Linked DNA regions of Arabidopsis thaliana. The protein of the gene in region 1 interacts with the protein of each later gene in a pairwise test. Each region holds a gene or a part of one and is shown on either strand. Other genes may lie near its edges. The genes, in order: CIPK1, CBL5, ECT2 and AHG1.

What was found.
Region 2: the proteins of CIPK1 (region 1) and CBL5 interact in a two-hybrid assay, tested with the Arabidopsis thaliana proteins (one study listed by BioGRID).
Region 3: the proteins of CIPK1 (region 1) and ECT2 interact in a two-hybrid assay, tested with the Arabidopsis thaliana proteins (one study listed by BioGRID).
Region 4: the proteins of CIPK1 (region 1) and AHG1 interact in a two-hybrid assay, tested with the Arabidopsis thaliana proteins (one study listed by BioGRID).

What each region holds. Positions count from the first base shown.
Region 1 is NC_003074.8:5,988,385-5,994,754, reverse strand, and holds CIPK1 (CBL-interacting protein kinase 1), read left to right. Parts: upstream 1-1,753; 5' UTR 1,754-2,127; coding exon 2,128-2,319; intron 2,320-2,415; coding exon 2,416-2,478; intron 2,479-2,676; exon of another isoform or gene 2,677-3,539; coding exon of another isoform or gene 3,540-3,554; coding exon 3,555-3,626; intron 3,627-3,729; coding exon 3,730-3,837; intron 3,838-3,913; coding exon 3,914-3,994; intron 3,995-4,093; coding exon 4,094-4,273; intron 4,274-4,355; coding exon 4,356-4,571; intron 4,572-4,662; coding exon 4,663-4,767; intron 4,768-4,857; coding exon 4,858-4,974; intron 4,975-5,065; coding exon 5,066-5,128; intron 5,129-5,220; coding exon 5,221-5,295; intron 5,296-5,383; coding exon 5,384-5,446; 3' UTR 5,447-5,831; downstream 5,832-6,370. Other genes in the region: AT3G17500 (F-box family protein), read right to left, coding at 6,257-6,370. UniProt on the Arabidopsis thaliana protein: CIPK serine-threonine protein kinases interact with CBL proteins. Binding of a CBL protein to the regulatory NAF domain of CIPK protein lead to the activation of the kinase in a calcium-dependent manner.
Region 2 is NC_003075.7:579,492-583,116, reverse strand, and holds CBL5 (calcineurin B-like protein 5), read left to right. Parts: upstream 1-1,595; 5' UTR 1,596-1,598; coding exon 1,599-1,674; intron 1,675-1,797; coding exon 1,798-1,880; intron 1,881-2,027; coding exon 2,028-2,087; intron 2,088-2,160; coding exon 2,161-2,269; intron 2,270-2,397; coding exon 2,398-2,450; intron 2,451-2,537; coding exon 2,538-2,618; intron 2,619-2,703; coding exon 2,704-2,816; coding exon of another isoform or gene 2,817-2,820; exon of another isoform or gene 2,821-3,042; coding exon 3,043-3,079; downstream 3,080-3,625. UniProt on the Arabidopsis thaliana protein: Acts as a calcium sensor. CBL proteins interact with CIPK serine-threonine protein kinases. Binding of a CBL protein to the regulatory NAF domain of a CIPK protein lead to the activation of the kinase in a calcium-dependent manner.
Region 3 is NC_003074.8:4,384,062-4,390,348, reverse strand, and holds ECT2 (evolutionarily conserved C-terminal region 2), read left to right. Parts: upstream 1-1,756; 5' UTR 1,757-2,128; coding exon 2,129-2,156; intron 2,157-2,437; coding exon 2,438-2,514; intron 2,515-2,604; coding exon 2,605-2,752; intron 2,753-2,847; coding exon 2,848-2,918; intron 2,919-3,000; coding exon 3,001-3,567; intron 3,568-3,693; coding exon 3,694-4,287; coding exon of another isoform or gene 4,288-4,289; intron 4,290-4,375; coding exon 4,376-4,588; intron 4,589-4,684; coding exon 4,685-4,825; intron 4,826-4,910; coding exon 4,911-5,075; 3' UTR 5,076-5,786; downstream 5,787-6,287. Other genes in the region: Cpn60beta2 (TCP-1/cpn60 chaperonin family protein), read right to left, coding at 31-168, 253-378, 461-664; DIN4 (Transketolase family protein), read left to right, coding at 6,054-6,223. UniProt on the Arabidopsis thaliana protein: Specifically recognizes and binds N6-methyladenosine (m6A)-containing RNAs, and regulates mRNA stability. M6A is a modification present at internal sites of mRNAs and some non-coding RNAs and plays a role in mRNA stability and processing.
Region 4 is NC_003076.8:21,025,310-21,029,722, forward strand, and holds AHG1 (Protein phosphatase 2C family protein), read left to right. Parts: upstream 1-1,565; 5' UTR 1,566-1,606; coding exon 1,607-2,071; intron 2,072-2,137; coding exon 2,138-2,482; intron 2,483-2,548; coding exon 2,549-2,654; intron 2,655-3,268; coding exon 3,269-3,603; 3' UTR 3,604-3,879; downstream 3,880-4,413. UniProt on the Arabidopsis thaliana protein: Negative regulator of abscisic acid (ABA) responses during seed germination.

The DNA.
Region 1 (6,370 bases):
ATCTCTTTAGTTTAACATTAAAAGAGCACGAGCAAAAGAATATAACAAGAGAAAATTGTGGTATAAAATATTTGCTTGAGAAAGTTTATATAACCACGAACGAGTTACTCTTTTATTTATTTAAATTTATATATATAACACACCTAGTCATCTACACACAAAAGAGAGAGAGAGAGAGGTTCTGATAACATAGATCAATCAATATGTTACTCACTGCCGGCAGCAATACTATCACCGGCCATTTTGACACGTTTGAGAGACTCGAATAATTTTAATTATTGGTTTTTTCTCCTTTTCTATATAGTATCTATTCATTTCAGCCACATCATTTACTAACTACAAATTTTAATAAAAACCTTGGGAAAAAGATGTGTAGAGAAACATGTGACATATGACCTTTTCATTACCAAAAATATGTTGGGACGACTGACGAGAGCTAAGAACCACTACATTCTTCAATAATCTATGTATCCAATAAAAAGATATAATATGGAGTTTTCCAAATTCAAGAGATTAGCCTGGTGCCCAGGCCCTGGTTTATTGAAACTTTTGGATTCTCAAAAACAATTTATTTATTTTAATTAAATACACAAACCGCATAAGAAAAACAAATATAAATTGAATGGTTCCATGTGATTTAATTAATTGTGAGCCGACAAAGGACGAGACATGAAATATAGTATAAATTACCATAGTTTTTTTTAAAAAATATTAACTTTAAGTGTATCATTAACGATTGTGTTTCTAAACGCTTGCCTATATTGCGAATTAAAAATTTGTAAAAGTCTACAACTAATATTATTAGTCTACAAAGACAGAAACAATATAAAACTGAAAGCACCATGTTTATTTCCCCCCAAACCGAAAGCACTATCGTAAAAAAGTGTTTTAAATCTAATTATCAATTCATGCACGATATCGACGTATATAAATGGTTTATTACCAAATTATCTCTTAAACTGAAAATGCCACGACAATGAAGACCTACTGTCTATGAAACCAAGTCATAAGTTCAAAATTTCCATAGAAACGAATGGGTTATGAACGCGTTGTTTAATTTGTTGTAGTGTGTATATATAACTTGATCTTAAGTTTAGGTCTCTTTTGATCTCCTCTTTTATAACAAAGGTACAAAACTAAACTGTAACTTTAAGAAATCATAGTTGGACTTCAACTTTTAAGTAACTCCAACATGAAAACTTGGAAAGTATGTGATTCCTTGTGAACTTTTATGTGTATACAAGTTTGTTTCTACATTTAAGAACTAAAATCCGAAAGCCAAATCAAAACTGCTCCAGTAACAAGAACTATAAAACTGCAAGCACCAATCTTTTTGTAGCGTTTCTTTCTGACTTTAAACCAAAAGTTCTTATGAATATATTTTTTCATCTATTATTATTTAATTTCAACATAAAACTAATGCAACAAATGACGTGGGCCTATTGATGCATACAAGTACACACATAAAATACACACATATTCGCAATATACATCATATATAGAATTATTCTGATAAATCAATATACTCTTTGCGTATATTTTCCATATTTTGATTGTTGACAGAAATAAGATCCTTTTTAAATTTCTCCTTATAATGAACATAGACATAATTTCATTTGATAGGAGTTTTATTTGACCAATAATAATAAATCTCGATAAGTACCCTACTAAAAAAATCTTATTTCGATAATATCAAATCTTATATGGTTTGTTAGATTAATCTTTTTCTTTTGTGAAGATTAATATGTTTCTAGTTATCCAATAAAAATCTGGCTAACAAAAACCAAAAAAAAATAGTTAACGAGGAATATATATATAAAAAGAAGTGAATATAATAAGAAGAGAAGAGGAAACAAAGAGAAGTAGCGTCCTCTCTTCAATTTCAACCGGCACTTTCTTCTCTTCTTCTTCTTCTTCCCAATCTTCCTCGTCTCTTTACCTACACCTATATATATATATATATATATATCTCCTTCCCTCACACACATACCTGCACAGCTACAATAATCTACTTCCCCTCTTTCAATAACGGAATTAATAGTAATCTAATCGGAAGATTCAAGCGAGAAATCGATTTGGTTGTCTGTTAATTTGTTGGGAAATAAATTGAAATAGGAGATTGATTGGATGGTGAGAAGGCAAGAGGAGGAGAAGAAGGCGGAGAAGGGAATGCGTCTGGGGAAATACGAGCTAGGGAGGACGCTCGGCGAGGGTAATTTCGGTAAAGTTAAATTCGCTAAAGATACCGTCTCCGGTCATTCCTTCGCCGTTAAAATCATCGACAAGTCTCGTATCGCCGATCTCAACTTCTCCTTACAGGTTCCCATCTCTCTATCATCATTTCTAATTTTTTTCTTTTCTCTTCTTTTACTAAATTTGTAATTTGACAGATCCAATTCTTATGAATCTGTGCAGATAAAAAGAGAGATCCGGACTCTGAAAATGTTGAAACATCCCCACATTGTTAGATTACATGAGGTCCGTATCTTAAATTTTTGTGTATAATCATCTTTGGATTATCGAAATGATTCTGTGATTAGGAAGTAAAAAGGTTTATTGCTTAATTAGTATAACAATTTTTGATTATTCTTCTGTTTGCTTGTTTCTGTTTATTTAGTATATACCTGAGTATGACAGAAAGTGATCGAATTATTGCCTGCTTATGGATGGTTATTCAAATTTTGATTCGTCATTTTAGATTGTTAGATTAGGTTTAGTAAACTATTTTTAGTTAATTTCTTCATTGTTGTTTCTTTATCTATCAAAATGGAGCTGACGAGGATTAAAAACACCTCAAATCTTGGATAATTGTTGTTTGCTTTTTGGATCTTTTTTTTTACTGTTTAGGAATATTCTTACAAGTCATTTGGTTTCGTACCCAAACATGTTTCATTTAGCTTGTTTTTCACGTTGCCAATTAGCCGCATCATTTTACATAATTATTAAGTTAATTATTCCATTATTTGATATGGTGGCTTGGCCGGTAACACAAATCTGACCTGTTCAATTCAAAGGTGGGGTCCTAAAAAAAATTATCGTGAAAAATGCAGGATATGTCGCTTGATCATCATATAATTGCTTAATCTTAGTACCCTTTTAAGCTTTTTATCATGTGGACCCTCTTTGATCTTATGCTTAGTTTTACTTTTTATTTTATTTTATTCATATAGTATTATTTCAGATGATTATTGTATGGGTCATTGCTTGCTGTATCTTTGCGTTTTATTGTTGACTTCTAATTATTTCGATTGCTTCTTCCTCTTTGCCATTTAACACGAGATTAATCGTGACTTTTGGTTAAGCAACCATTGTGGATCTTCACTTATTTGATACACGTGGTCCACTTTTTAAGCTCGTGACTAACTTTGTCGTGTCTTGGACAACTAAGTGTTTTTTATGTAATCTGTGGATATGAATGCAATTCGAATTCTAAATGTTTCTTTTTCTTTCTTGTGACTAATCTTTTGGATTCTCAAACATGAAACATCTTACCTCAGAACTCACTGTTCCTTTACCTTGAAACTAATGGCCTCTTCCTTATGGTAATCATGCAGGTCTTGGCTAGCAAAACGAAAATTAATATGGTAATGGAACTTGTTACCGGAGGAGAATTGTTCGACAGAATTGTAAGACTCTTACTAGCCTCTATGCTCAAAGCAAAAAAGATTTTTTTTCTTTTTTTGACGAGTGTCATTTTTGCTAAACTCACACTTTGATGATAACTCTCAGGTTTCCAACGGAAAATTAACAGAAACTGATGGAAGAAAAATGTTTCAGCAGCTTATCGATGGAATCAGCTACTGTCATAGCAAAGGTGTTTTCCACAGGGATCTCAAGGTCTGTGATTCTCTCACTGTGTTTCAAACCATGGAAACCTTATGGAATAGTGTACTGATGTTTTTCTATATTGCAGCTAGAGAATGTTCTTCTTGATGCAAAGGGACATATAAAGATCACTGATTTTGGCCTCAGTGCTCTGCCTCAGCATTTTAGGGTACTTGAAAATATCATCTTAAAACCATAGCATATCACAGCAGAATTATAATTGTTGAATCCGTTCGAGTTACAACTAATTTTCTCTTTGGCATTTTAGGATGACGGATTGTTGCATACAACCTGTGGAAGTCCTAATTACGTTGCGCCTGAGGTTTTAGCTAACAGAGGCTACGATGGTGCAGCATCAGACATATGGTCCTGTGGTGTAATCTTGTATGTGATTCTAACCGGATGTCTTCCTTTCGACGACAGAAACCTTGCAGTTCTTTACCAGAAGGTAAACCTCATTTTTTCTTATATATATGCCAATTCAATACACATTTTGAAGAAATAAGCTTGATAATTGATTTGATTTCTAGATATGTAAAGGAGACCCACCAATACCAAGATGGTTATCCCCGGGTGCAAGAACCATGATTAAGAGAATGCTTGATCCAAATCCAGTCACGAGGATCACAGTTGTGGGTATTAAAGCCAGCGAGTGGTTCAAACTTGAGTACATTCCTTCAATTCCCGATGATGATGACGAAGAAGAAGTTGACACAGACGATGATGCTTTCTCAATCCAAGAACTCGTAAGAATCTGCCACCCTTACTCTCTATCGCAACTGCATTTGAGTCAAGTACAATGTCCTCATTTCTCTGTCTCTCTTTTGAATGGTCTAGGGATCAGAAGAAGGGAAGGGCAGTGATTCACCGACCATCATCAATGCGTTTCAGTTAATCGGAATGTCTTCCTTTCTTGACCTGTCCGGTTTCTTTGAACAAGAGGTAACTAATCTTCTAATACTCTGTTTCAAAGATCTGCTCTCTGCTTGAGCCAATGTATAATAAAAAGGAGTTATACTTTTACTTTCTCAGAATGTATCAGAGAGGAGAATAAGATTCACTTCAAATAGCTCAGCAAAAGATTTACTGGAGAAAATCGAAACAGCCGTTACAGAAATGGGATTCAGTGTACAAAAGAAACATGCCAAGGTGGGTCTTCACAACATGGTCTTCCTCTTCCTTAGCAACTTGGAATTTCAAATCTGTAGGTTTATAAACTTTAAACTGTATTTTGTTTCAGTTAAGAGTAAAACAAGAAGAAAGAAACCAGAAAGGTCAAGTTGGTTTATCAGTAACAGCTGAGGTATATTAACTATTACGTAAACATTATTTCACTGTTCAATAGACTATTTAGTGAGATTATTTGACTAATAGAAGAAATTCTTATGATATCAGGTTTTCGAGATAAAGCCGTCACTGAACGTGGTTGAGCTAAGAAAATCTTATGGCGATTCATGTTTATATAGACAGGTATGCCACTATTGTCATTTCTTAATTAGACTGAAGAAACACATATCAAAGATAAAAATGTTTATGTTTGATATTGGGGTTGGTGCAGTTGTACGAGAGACTATTAAAAGACGTGGGCACATCCTCGCCGGAGCAAGAGATAGTAACTTAGGTGTTGGTGTTTTCGGCTGAAGAGATATACATAGCTCTAATAATTTATCATATGGAACACACCATCCATGTTCATATAATTTATTATCTTAAGTATATATAAAAGGAGCTCGATTTATATGATTAGTGCAAATAGTAATTGCATTTAAGTATAAACCGTGGCGTAGATCTTTCCTCAAGAATTAGAGATTTTATTCACTACCTTTGTATTTGTTTTTATTATTATTTGGTGTGGCAAATCTGCCTACTAGCAAAAAAGATCCCATAAAAAATCTCTTCATTATTTTTGTAAATAATATACATGTGTTTAGTTTGTATCTGTACATCATTCAATTCCGCACCAACCGATCTACGTATATAAATTTTTAGTATTATGCTATGTTGCTTTCGTCTCATAAAATACTCTCAAGAGTCATGAGTCATGTGACCTATCAACATTTAGCGTCCTGGAATGTAACAATTGTAGTTTTAAAGTTAGTCAAATTCACAACTTGTTCTTGTTTTAGTTGGAACTTGAATGTAGTGCAAATAAGCCAGGAATCAAAATAATATATCTAGTCATAGATTAATCAAACGATTTTACTACAAAAACGCAAAAACGAATAAACAAAAAAAGGAGATTGAAGAAATTACGTCCTTACCTGTATCGACTAATACTGAACCAAACTTGGAACATAATTGAAAATAAAACGGCTCACATGAGTTCATAAAAGGAATGAACTTAGGCCATTCGCCAAAATGGATTTCTGTGTATTCACGGTCCTCCCCAACAATGTATACAAGGTTCTTGCTCGCAAGTCTGTTACTTGTCTCACAACCCACATAGCAAGGCCATTCCTTTCTCCTTGTCGATGAAGAAACTGTCATACGATAACATAGCACGACCACCAATGTCTACATCTACCGTAAAGAATTTGCTCCACTG
Region 2 (3,625 bases), on another chromosome or scaffold:
GACGAATAAACACATTTTCGCTTAATCCCTAACACAAACATTTCCCTAAGTATCTTGAATTCAATTTTAGTTACTTTTCATGTAGCTTTTCTTTGTGGTATATGTATGTGATTAATGCTTTCGAGAATAAAAGAAAATATGAATACAAAACATTTAACAAGGTCTGCAAGGGAAACTTGTTAAAAATAAAGGCAAGAAACGTTAATCAATCAAGATCCTGAATGCACAGTCGTGATAATTGGCATGCTCACATCGTTAGTTGGTGATTTGATGTGTTCTTCCTAAAAAAGTTCCTTAAGAATTTCACTTTTAAAACAGAATTCAGATTTTGCATTCTCGCTACAAAATACTTGTAGACTGAGATACAATCTGAATTATCATATAACATTTGTTTGCTATCGTAACGTTTTTTTTTTGTAAAAGAATATAATACCAGTAATCAACTTTTTTTGGTTCTGGTTCTATATGATTGGTCAATAACTGAAATAATTTTAGGATATCATAGAGTTAACGAGATCGATTGAAAAGAAAGTAAATATTTATTGTTATATCTTTGTATATAAATTTATTGGGTTAGTCAATAACATTGAGAGATACTATTATACTACTAAAGTTTCATCCATTTTTATAAAACAATAGAGCTCTCAAAATGGACGGGCGGCCCGTGGGCGTGTTTCATCCATTACAACTGTAGCTTCAGAGTCTTCATTCAGCATAGGAAGTCGGGTTTTAAACAAGTATCGGAGTTGTCTTCTTCCTTCTACAGTTCAAGCTTTGATATGTGCGAGGAATTGGCTATGCAACTTTGAAGAGATTGGTAAGCTTTTGACTTCTTTTCTTTTGTCATATTTCAATCAATTTGAATCTTAATGCATATTGAGTTCTTCTTTTCTGTAGTACTTAGGTGATAATATTGAGTTCCTTAATAAAGACAAAGATGGCGAGAGAGAAGAAGAAGAAGTTTAAATTTGCTTTTAATTTGTTTTTGGATTTGATACTTTGTTAAATACTTGAATTGTGTTTAAATTTGCTTTTGGATTTAATACTTAAATTATTTAATACTTTGTTGTTTAAATTTGCTTTTGGATTTGATAATTTGGTTGAAATATGAAGCAAATACTATTGTGTTAAAATTTGGTTATGTTATGCTCATTGGACAGCCCAGTTGGACATGAGCTTTAATGAGCATGAACGTTAATGGACATGGACCTTAGTGGACATAGACACTATTTGTCCAATATCGAAATGGATATTATTGGACTGAGCTAATGGACATGGACATCCCGCTTTGAGTATCAAGTAACAAGAAAAAAATTTGAATCAACAAGAAAATATAAACCATAGAAAAAGAATATGTTTAAAGAACTCAGGAAAGAAAATGAAGTTTCATAGAAAAAGAACTAGTATCAAATTCCGATATAAATTATACCATTTGTCTCCAGCTTCCTAAGCCGGCAATGTACAAACCCTTCCACTTTCGAATTTGTTCGGTTAGAAATAGATTTATATTCCACAATTTCTTGCACCTACGTTGATGCCTATATATATAGACACACTTAAATGTATGTGGAATTTGAAATATATATTGATATAGTAAAATGGGATGTGTTTGCAGCAAGCAATTAGAAGGAAGAAGGCAAGAAGACATTTCGCTTCTTGCTTCTCAAACCTTTTGTAAGTTACGTCTACTTCAATCATCCACCACTTCCTCCTCCTATATATTATATTGCATGGAGAAAGAATATTATTACACGAGCTTGTAGATCAGATAACATCTAAATTGTTTTGGGTTTGCAGTTAGCGAGGCTGAGGTTGAAGTTTTGCATGGATTGTTCATCAAACTCACTTCTTGTCTTAGCAACGACAATCTTTTGACCAAAGTTAGAGTCCAAACTAATTTTTCTTCCACAATGTGAATAATTTTTTTTTGGTCAACAAAATGTGAATAATATAACATCTAAATTTTATACTAGCTAGTTATAGAAAAGTTGTGCTTTTGTCATGTCAAATTTGGTTGGCTTTTCCAGGAAAAATTTCAATTTATCTTGATCAAGAATACCAAAAAGCGCAGTCTTTCTGCAGAACGGGTAATTGAATTTGTTATATTAAGCGAAATAAATAAATAAACTTCGATTGATGTTGTTTCTCTGAAATATGCAGATTTTTGGATTATTCGATATGAGAAACGATGGGGCTATAGATTTTGGAGAGTTTGTACACACACTCAACATTTTTCACCCAAACTCATCACCAAGAGATAAGGCCATATGTATGCTTCATCACTTCTAATGTGTTTATTCATTTATTCCATGTTATTATTATTTTCTATATAGCTAGAGATCAATGTTATTAACTATAACCACAAATACATCTGATCACTTGTTTAAAATTAAACAGTTGCATTTAGATTATACGATACTCGTGAGACTGGATTCATTGAACCGGAGGAGGTACGTATGTAAACTTTGTCTCAAAAAAAAGAAAAAGTCATGATTAATTATATTTGACGGTTTTCCTCGACTTGGAGAAATCTATAGGTGAAAGAGATGATAATAGACGTTCTAGAGGAATCAGAACTTATGCTATCCGAGAGTATCATTGATTCTATCGTGTCTAAGGTGTGTATAACGCTTAAGTTTATGAGCTTGATTTAACATTATAGTGATTTTACTTACTATTTTTGTTTACTTATATTTGGCAAAGACATTTGAAGAGGCCGATTGGAAAAAAGATGGGATAATAGATTTGGAAGAATGGGAGAATTTTGTTGCCACCTATCCTTTGACACTAAAGAACATGACTATCCCTTTCTTGAAGTAATTCGTTTGTTTGTTTTTCCTAACCATTTTCTTAATATTCGCTGATAAATTGCATGTTTTAGATACATCTTTCGTTTTACAAAAAAAGTAATATATATACATCTTTCAAAAACAGCTTTTATATATGTGTGTTTATGCATATATTACTATTATCTTCTTTTATTTTATTTTTCTTGTTTTATAAATCGAGATAATTATTCTAAAATTAACTTTTATTGTACAGGGACATTCCGAGGATTTTCCCAACCTTTCTCCGGTAAAATCAGATGAGGTGTTTGCTAGAGGTTTTTGTTTAAAAATATTTTTATCCGAAAATCACATAGGTAATTTGTTATAAGAAATATAGAAGGTTAATTATTATATAAACATATTAACTATCGAAAGAAATCTTTAATATTTAACGAGGATAGAAAGTAATTGTTTTTAACCACAAAGCTAAAGCTGTGATATGAAAACTTAAAAGCAAAGATCGGTTCGTGAAGACAAAATGGGGTTTTGGAAAAGGAAAAGAGGAAAAAGAAAAAGAACAAACGTGTGAAAATTCGAGAAAAATGGTAACACAAAAAGAAATTGGACATGATATAAGTTGCCAAAACCAAAGAGAAAAAATTGACATGATATACCAATCAAATTTTTGAATCAGGTCAACTAATCAAATTCACAACAATCATCCACAATATTATTTAGATTTGACGCTTTCACTGTTTCACATGAAAATTTTACATTTGACGCGATGACTTGTGGAGTCACGATCATTTTAGTCACTCGTTTTAAACGGATGCTTCATTCAAAAAATGTAACTTATA
Region 3 (6,287 bases), 1.6 Mb from region 1:
CAGAGAAAGCTGAAAGAAGAATGTAACAACCTTGACACCCTCAGCAATAAAACCTTGTGCAAGAACAACAGATGTTGTTGTACCGTCACCAGCCAAGTCATTGGTCTTTGCAGCTGCTTGCCTTACAAGCTTTGCACCAATGTTCTCAACCGGGTCCTCCAACTCGACCTAAGCAGAAGAAAACCTTAAGCTTAGAGAAGTAATTAAAAACGAAAGGAACATAATTGGTTAAACAGACAATAAATTTCATACCTCCCTCGCAACAGTGACACCATCATTAACAATTCTTGGGGATCCATACTTGCTCTCAAGAACAACATTTCTCCCTTTTGGTCCAAGTGTGACACCAACAAGGTCCGCGAGCTTGTTAACACCAGTCTAATAACAAACGAGTAATCAGAAACCAAAAATAAAACGAATCCTAATCATTACTCCAGAAAATCAATTCATTAATTCTCACCTGAAGTTTCCTTATGGTAGTCCCATCCTTATTGAAATGCAACTCCTTGGCTGCACATACTATGGCAGGACGGGATCTTCTGACGCACACGTTATGTCTCCTTCCAAACGAGCTTGAAGAGATGCTAGTCGCAGAAGACAACTTGATAGCATTGGGAGCAAGCAACGAACCAAGGGAAGACGTGGCAGTGAATGTCGATGCCATTTTCACTTCTCAAACACTGAAAATCAATCCAACAGTTCACATAAAACGAAAGATTCACCAAAAGTACTAACCAATTAAAACTGGCAACAAAAAACAAAAAACAGATGAATTTCAAAATCAGAGCTCAATCCCCAAATACTCAAAACCACAACTACACCAATAGCCACAAATCTCCGGGAACACGAAAACAAGGTAACATACTTTTTCTCAGCTACTAGTAATACTTGTTAATTCCAATTCTAACAAAACAATCAATCGACACACACAATTACATAGGCGCCAACATTGTGAGCTCAATTGATGGGAAAAGTGACACTCACCGGACGGTGGAACGACGGAGGTGAGGAGAGAGATGGCGCCGAAGAGGTTTATTCCGGATAAGGAGGAAGAAGTAGGTTTCTCCAATGACGAAATGAAGAATGCACTTGCTACTGATAATTTTTTCTTTGAATATAAAGGCGATATGAGCCTTTAGCTCTTGAAACTTCGAGCTAATCTTAGCCGTTGGATGTACTCTTCATTGTTTTCTCATTAGAACTCTCTAGAACGTCGGATGGGTAATCGGATCATGGGTTTATTTCCGGTGGCCTTGTTTGGTGATTTGGGCCTGTTTATGAATCTTTAATCAAATAGGCCCATTACATACTCTCGATCTTAAAATGTTTTTATTTAATAATAGCTTTTTTAAGCTAAGGTAATTTACTTCCTTTTATCCTAAAGGTAAAGTATATTTTCTTGAATAGCTAGTTTTGGTAAGTTTCTCTGAAAAATAGATTTTACTTTCTTTGGTTTTATCTTAATGATTTGCTTTTAGTTTTTAAATAGTTGCTCAAAACAAAAAAGTTTAATATATATTTTTAAAGATATTTCAATGTATATTGGGGTAAATTTATAGAAGAAACACACCTATAATAGAAAGCATGCCCTCTTTTGCTTTTAAATTTGACCAAATTTACTTTTGAATTATATTTTGGTAACAGAATTGAGATTTATATCTATTTTATTACAAGATTACCAATTTTAAGAAAATGGAAAAGTATATTATCCAGATTTTGCAGGAAAAATAACCAAAACCACACGGTCTATAGTCTTCTTTTAAAACAAAAGAGGAAATATCTTAAGGTGGAAGAAAAAAAAAAAAAAAGAAAGAAAAAAAAAAGAGAGAAGGTGAGGTGGTTGATTAGTGGATCTATTTGAATCAGAGGGAGAGGTAGAGAGACAAAACCCTTTTTTTCCTCTTCCCCGAAGCAAAACCCTTCTCCTTCTTGGCGGCTGCGGCCATTTTTTTCTTCTTTCTCTCTTCTATTCTATCTCTTAAACCCTAGATTTGATCTGGGTTTTTCCTGATTCCATTTAGGGTTTCTCTATCTTCTTTTTTTTCTTCTTCTTCTTCTTTCTCTTTGGTCGCATCCCCTTTTATCCGAGAAGGATCTATCCAAATCTTTGTTTGTCGAATCTCCTCTCATGGCTACCGTTGCTCCTCCTGCTGATCGTATCCTTTCTTTATGTTTCTCGATCTGTGTTTTGATTTCTCGATCTTGAATCTGTTGGATCTTGAATCCAGTGAGCTGATTTTGAGTCTTGTTCAGATATATTTGATATTGCCTAGATTCAGTTTCGGGTTTCTCAATATATTTCTCGATTGTTAGGTTTCTATATTGATTCAAATCGATTCATTTGTGGCGAGTTTGATTGATTTGAGAATGTTTGCTTTCCACTATTCTAATGGTTAATTGTGTAATTCTTTGCTTCCTTGACTCACCTTGTTTGTAGAAGCTACAGATCTGTTGCAGAAACTATCCTTGGACTCGCCAGCAAAAGCTTCAGAGATCCCTGAGCCTAACAAGAAGGTGATTTGCAGATTGAATTTTGGTTTTCTGTTGTCACAACTTTTGCTTCTTCCAGTTTTTTTTAACGCTTTTGTTTTGTGTCTTGTGTAGACTGCCGTCTACCAGTATGGAGGCGTTGATGTTCATGGTCAAGTTCCTTCTTATGATCGATCTTTGACACCAATGCTTCCCAGTGATGCTGCTGACCCTTCAGTTTGCTATGTTCCTAATCCTTACAATCCCTACCAGTATTACAATGGTAGCTTCATCCTCAAATCATTTACAATCTAGAAACATTATTTCACTAAATTGTCACCACTGGTTTAACAAGTTTTTCGTTTTGTAACTTTTCAGTATATGGGAGTGGTCAAGAGTGGACTGACTACCCAGCTTACACAAATCCTGAGGGTGTTGACATGAATTCTGTAAGTGTGTGCTGACTAGTTATAATAGTGCCTTTCATCGTCTTTATATTTTCTTTGCTTAACAGGTTCAATATTTTACCAGGGAATTTATGGAGAGAATGGGACTGTTGTGTATCCTCAGGGTTATGGGTATGCAGCGTATCCTTACTCGCCAGCAACTAGCCCTGCTCCACAGCTTGGCGGGGAAGGGCAGTTGTACGGTGCTCAGCAGTATCAGTATCCTAACTATTTTCCAAACAGTGGACCGTATGCTTCATCTGTGGCTACACCTACCCAGCCGGATCTCTCTGCAAACAAACCTGCTGGTGTGAAGACACTACCTGCGGATAGCAATAATGTTGCTTCTGCTGCTGGTATCACAAAAGGAAGTAATGGATCAGCTCCAGTGAAACCAACTAACCAGGCTACCCTTAACACCTCAAGTAATTTGTATGGTATGGGTGCTCCAGGAGGAGGTTTGGCTGCTGGTTATCAGGACCCCAGGTATGCCTATGAAGGGTATTATGCTCCTGTGCCGTGGCACGATGGCTCTAAGTACTCTGATGTGCAGAGACCTGTTTCTGGTAGTGGAGTTGCATCCTCCTATTCTAAGTCTAGCACAGTACCTTCATCGAGGAATCAAAACTACCGCTCAAATTCTCACTACACGGTATGATGTCTTTCCAAACTTCTTTTTGCTAATGAACACCATTGTCTGCTTTACTGGCATATATATATAGCCGCTCAAGTCTTCCAAATTTGTTAACTGACCTTCAATCAACTTTTTTCTTTGCAGAGCGTGCACCAGCCTTCATCAGTGACTGGCTATGGTACAGCTCAGGGGTACTACAACAGGATGTATCAGAACAAGTTATATGGTCAGTATGGTAGCACAGGGAGATCTGCTTTGGGTTATGGTTCATCTGGGTATGATTCAAGAACAAATGGAAGAGGATGGGCGGCCACAGACAACAAATACAGAAGCTGGGGCAGGGGTAACAGTTACTATTACGGAAATGAGAACAATGTAGATGGTTTGAATGAACTTAACAGGGGACCTAGAGCTAAGGGCACAAAGAACCAGAAGGGAAATCTAGATGATAGCTTAGAGGTTAAGGAGCAGACTGGAGAATCAAATGTAACTGAGGTTGGGGAGGCGGATAACACATGTGTTGTTCCTGACAGAGAACAGTACAATAAAGAAGATTTCCCAGTGGATTATGCAAATGCCATGTTCTTTATCATCAAGTCATACAGTGAAGATGATGTGCACAAGAGCATTAAATATAATGTTTGGGCTAGCACACCAAATGGAAACAAGAAGCTTGCTGCAGCATACCAGGAAGCTCAACAGAAAGCTGGCGGCTGTCCCATCTTTCTGTTTTTCTCGGTGTGTATATAATCCTGAAATTAAAAACTGTGCTCTTTTTACTTTGTTTTATGATATTGTTCTTTATACTCCAGTTTTTGTCTTTCAGGTCAATGCAAGTGGACAATTTGTTGGTCTTGCTGAAATGACAGGACCAGTTGATTTCAACACAAATGTGGAGTACTGGCAGCAAGATAAGTGGACCGGCTCTTTCCCCCTCAAGTGGCATATTGTGAAGGATGTGCCAAACAGTTTACTGAAGCATATTACTTTAGAGAACAATGAGAACAAACCTGTTACCAACAGCAGAGACACACAAGAGGTAAATATTTGTGACATCTTTTGGCTTGTTTTACTGATTACTCCACGAGCGTTTTTGTTTTCTTGTGCCTAACTTTCTTTGTTTGGATCATATTAGGTTAAGTTGGAGCAAGGTTTGAAGATTGTGAAAATTTTCAAGGAGCATAGCAGCAAGACTTGCATTTTGGATGATTTCTCATTCTACGAGGTTCGACAGAAGACTATCTTGGAGAAGAAAGCCAAGCAAACCCAGAAACAGGTAAGAACTAGAAAACAATTTCAGAAATCTTTTTCATTCAGTATATATATAACTTGAGTGTTTCTAATGTATTAAAGCTTAACAGGTAAGCGAGGAGAAGGTAACCGATGAAAAGAAGGAATCTGCAACTGCAGAGTCAGCGAGCAAGGAATCTCCTGCAGCTGTTCAAACGTCCAGTGATGTTAAGGTTGCTGAGAATGGGTCTGTTGCTAAACCAGTCACAGGCGATGTGGTGGCAAATGGTTGCTAACTAAGAGGATGGTGTCGCTCACGGCATGGGCATAAAACTGACTAGAGATGAAGATATGAACAATCCCGTTTAACGTTTCTCTTGAGAAGAAGATTGCCGTGAGCCTTGAAGCATGGAAGGAGCTTTAGTACCTGAGACGGATCCGTTTCTTTGCCCTTAGAAGTTTAAATCCCAGTTATTTTTTTTTCAATCTTTTCTTGTTTTCATTTTTCCTTTTCTTCAAAATCGCAGTCTCGTTACAAGTTTATGTTGGGTTTCTTTTTCATTTTCTGTTGTTCCTACCCTGTAAAAATGCGCATAGGACCTACTAAATCGTGGGAAGAATTAGAGAAAAGGAGATAAAAGCAGGGTGGGATTTTGTTTTTTCATGTCTGTTGGATTTTTAGGCAGAGTTTTCTTTTCTTTTGGTTTCTTGCTTTGGTTTCAGACTTGACTCTCTTGAGTCGTTTAGAATTTGAGATGGTCTTTTGCCTCTCTCGTCTTGTTTCTGTCATTCTCCAAAGTTATCTGAATCAATCCATGTTTTAAGATTTTCAAAGCAAGGAGATAAGTATTGTTGATTTTTTTCGTGTAACAAAACAAAACGACCTTGATCTCATAATTTTGTTGCTGTCACCAATAATTGTCAAAGAAGCCGAGAGAACCTAACTTTAGTCAGCTCTCCATTTCACCATTCCAATGTATGATGTGTCGTTTTGATCTATCTTGCCGAAATTGCTGATGTGGTTAAAATCCCAATAATAAATGAAGCTGATCAAATAAGTACTTGTTGTCTGATCTGACGTGGCTAGATAGCTTCTCCAACGCTTTATCTCGGAAACTCCGTGACAAAAGATAGTACTTTCATGTCTGTTTTGGTTTCATCCAAAAGTATCAAATTTGTGTGATCTTCTCCAGAAGAAACTTGAGGAACTTTAAGCTAAACCTCTGTAGTTTTCAGATTGATTCGTTGGTGGAAAGCGTCTAAATTTTGCGTAAATGGCGGCAGCTCTTGTACGCAGATTCTGCCGGGGATCATCTTTTCCGGTCTCTGGTCATGGATATAGGATGCTATCGACGGTTGAAAATGTATCTGAAAGTGGTAAATCGATGAATCTATACTCTGCTATTAATCAAGCTCTTCACATCGCTTTAGAGACCGATCCTCGGTGAGCTTTTCTCGCATTTTTCAATCCTAAAGTCTAAGGTACATTTGAATTGGTTTTTATAATG
Region 4 (4,413 bases), on another chromosome or scaffold:
GTAATTCTAACCACACGCAAAATTATTAAACCAAATTTCCGCAAGAAGATCATAAAAAACTGAATAAACAATTTAAACAAACATTGATGTACGAAGATAACATTTCTATCATATATGGTTTATATATAATAACCTACTAAAACAGCCAGGGATTGAAATTAAGCTCACTAGTTTTTATTTTCTTCACATAAAAAAAAAAACAAAATCACTATATCGGCAAGTTAAGTTTTCAATCATTAAAACCTAAAACTAACCACCCAACCCACCAATGATTAAAACTATATCCCAGTCCCAACTAATCACAAATTTAAGGTAAAGTGTGTTTGAATCATTTTTTAAGAATTTTAGACAAGCTTTTTCATTATTATCTTCCTTTTAGATAACTTACACATTTATATTAGCTTAATATTTTGTTTGTTTTAGTTTTTAGCTAAACCATATCATTCATGTAGAGAGAACCACCCTAACTGTTATGATCTATTCGACTCGTATTAATTCTCATCAATATAGCAAAATATTAGGATTGATCGATCCACATATTTCAGTTCACCCACTTTAATATATTTCAAAGACAGTTTGTAAACATTTATTACGGTTTTCGTAGATCTTGAGTATTTGAATAAATAATGATATGATTCTTTGTATCTTGTACAGTTGCTTATTTGAGTAGACATTAATTACAAATCAAATCTGTTAGCATAAAATATACATATATCGCCGTTTTTCTTCATTTGTAGGAAACCAAATAAAGAATAAAAGGCATATGGCACTGATGGACTAAACTGGCATAACTATGCTACGTGTTTAATTGGTACAAGTCGCTCAACCTGAGGAATCGAGAAGTTGTAGATGATCACTATGTGACATGTGTTGCACCGAAAAAGAGTGACTAGTGACGATTGACGATTCGTCAACCTTTTTCTCCGAAGATATCTCCAACGTTATGGTTAATCCCATGATTTGGTTTAAGTATACTTACCGTTCAGGTTTTATAGAAAATACTACTCGAGATTTGGAACGATCAGTAAATGTTATTCCAGATTTAATATAGTAGAAATTGTTTGTTTTCACTTTTCAAAAAGATGGTTTTCAAAATTTAATTCTTTTTAAAAATAAGAAAATTGATATAAACCTTTTCAATATTGTTACATTTATAGTCATTGTTTTGACATTAATGTTTTCATATTGAAAGCAAAAGGAAACAAGATGCAATATTTCGTATATCATGAGTTTTTCATTTTCTATAATATTTGATGAATTAGTCCAGAACCAGCCTGATCCTTGTAGTTCACATGGTTTGAGAGATCAGCTCCGGCTCATGGGTTCAAATTCAAGCAAGGAGAAGAAGAAAGGAGTTAAGACACAAGAGCCTAGCTAAACGACTATCGTCATGAACCCAAAACCGGATGCGGTTTAACAAAAACCGAAGGCGTCTCCACGTGGACAACAACTTAACACCTGAGCCTAACACGCGAATACATCGAAACACCGACACGTGTTCTGTCTTCCTCGTAAGCTTCTTTATGTTCAAAGTGTTCTCTCTTTCTCTCGGCCCCATGTATATAAAGCGGTGCTCTCTTGATCCACCGAAACGAATTTTGAAAAGATGACTGAAATCTACAGAACAATTTCAACCGGACGTGGAGACGACGTTTCTCCGACTAAATGCCGTGAACGTCGTCGTCGGAGAATTGAGATGCGGAGACAAGCGGCGGTTTTCGGCGAACCTAGTTCGTCTAGGAATCGTGATCGGACGGACATGGAAGTTTACTCAAGTTTTGACGTTCCATTGAGGAAACAAGCTCGGAGGTCAGAGATCGGTGGTCTTCCGGCGGATATCGGGGGCTTTTTGGCACCTCCGGCGGCATCTTCTTGCCAAAAATCGGAAGCGCCGGTGTGGAAGGGAGAAGAAACGGAGGATGAGCCGTTGTACGGTATAGTTTCGGTTATGGGAAGATCTCGTAAGATGGAGGATTCGGTTACTGTTAAACCGAATTTGTGCAAACCGGAAGTTAACCGGCAAAGACCGGTTCATTTCTTTGCGGTATACGATGGCCACGGCGGTTCTCAGGTAAGAAAATTAACCAGGGGTGGTTTGGTCATTTAATATAAAGATGCTGATGTGATGCGTGGACAGGTGTCAACATTGTGCAGCACGACTATGCACACGTTTGTCAAGGAGGAGCTAGAGCAAAACCTCGAAGAGGAGGAAGAAGGAAGCGAAAACGATGTCGTGGAGAGGAAATGGCGGGGCGTGATGAAACGGAGTTTCAAGAGGATGGATGAGATGGCAACGAGTACATGCGTGTGTGGGACTAGTGTGCCGTTGTGTAACTGTGATCCGAGGGAGGCTGCGATTTCGGGTTCAACGGCGGTCACTGCGGTTTTGACGCACGATCATATTATTGTAGCCAATACTGGTGACTCACGTGCGGTGTTGTGTCGAAATGGAATGGCTATTCCTCTGAGTAACGATCACAAGGTGGTGTTCTTGTAAAGGTTTGAGAATATTGGAGTTTCTATTTTGAAGTTGTTGAGTTTTTTGCAGCCGGATAGACCAGACGAGCGTGCGAGGATTGAAGCAGCTGGTGGTCGAGTTTTAGTAGTGGATGGAGCTAGAGTTGAAGGAATTCTAGCCACGTCCAGAGCCATAGGTATACCTTTCTCAATTCTCATATTGTAGTAAAAGATGATTTTAGTTGATAGTGTTGAAGATGGCAAGGAACTAGAGCCTATAAGGGCAATAATAATCATTTCGGATTTGGGGTTTAGGGTTTTAAGTTTACTAACTAAGGTACTATGGATTGGTTTCATTTGGTGCGAGTTCTTTTGTTGATTAATTCTAATTCTATTTTCAAAGATGTTTTATAATTGTTCCTTTAAAAAAAAAATATGTAAATTTTACTCTCTTTTTTTTGTCAAAATGTTAACTAGAAATTTTACATTGGTCCTAATAGTTTAACATTTGACAAAAAAAAAAAAAAACAAAAAAAATTATATTTGCAGCATTAACTAGAAAACAAAAATAATTGAATCATTTTACGAAAATAAAAAATGTGGGCATTCATACAAACCATCTCATGGATTAGAACGGGAGAAGTATTTTTCTTAACTTCAAAAGTATTTAAATGTGTCTTATCTTTGTATCTTTCATTGTTTGATCATTTAACCAACTTAAAATTTATTTCGGTTATACAATTTATTAGACTAAACATGAAGTTTTAGTATGGAAATTGTTCCTAATGTTGTGTTACAATTCATGGAGCAGGGGACAGGTATCTAAAACCAATGGTAGCATGGGAACCAGAAGTAACATTCATGAGAAGGGAATCTGGAGATGAATGCTTAGTATTAGCAAGCGATGGGCTTTGGGATGTACTCTCGAGTCAGCTAGCTTGTGACATAGCTAGGTTTTGTCTCCGCGAAGAAACTCCCTCGAGCCTTGATTTAAATAGAATGGCTCAAGAAGACGACAATGACGGAGAACAAAATCCTTCAAGGAGTGTATTGGCTGCAACGTTGCTAACGCGGTTGGCTTTGGGTAGACAAAGCAGTGATAATATAAGTGTGGTCGTCATTGATCTCAAGAATAGCTCTCAGTAAAACTAGTTTTGGATCCTTTTTTTGGTGGTTGTGCAATTAAGTGGTTAAACCAAAGAATAAGATGTTGATATAGCGATGAGCCTTAATTAGTTTTAGGGTTTAGCGCCCGTCTTTGTTTTGTTATGAATTGGGGTTACCAATACACATTAACACCGGCGAATGTGAAAGGAAAAGAGAGTTGTTTGGATATGGGCTACAAGGTTATTTAGTGGTTTGGCCATGGGCTATTAAGGGTATTTAGTGGTTTAAACAATAAAATAAAAGTTAACTTGAGAGAATTTGTTCTCTAATTTTGTTTGTTGTATGTGTGTGATCATTTTGAAGTTATTGATCGTTTAGCTATTTAGGTGGTATGTGTGAAATAAATAGATAAAATAAAAACGTAGTACTGCTTTGGTTTTGTTCGTTGTAGTTCATTAGACGCCGGTCTTGGTCTTTTATATTTTTTTGATGGACTGATCATTTCCAATGGTTAAAGTCATCTCTGTCTACAAATACTTACATTTTGGTACAACCTGAATGAAGTGAATTTAAGGCTGAGATTTTGAACCAGCCCTAACCCTACTCAACCGTGCAGTTTTATATTTGGTTCAACAATGCTATATAGGCTTTTGGGCCAATTACCAGATTGTCTTTACTCTTTAGGCTTTAAAGGAAAAAAAAAAGAGATGTGCAAAAGAATCAAAGAGAACAATTCAAGAAAGAGAGACAAAAAGACAACTCTTATAGTTCGATGGAAATGGAACAATTCGAACAGGTTTGACGAATACAGAGTTTTGGTCCTAAATAAAAGGGAGATCAAGAATCAAG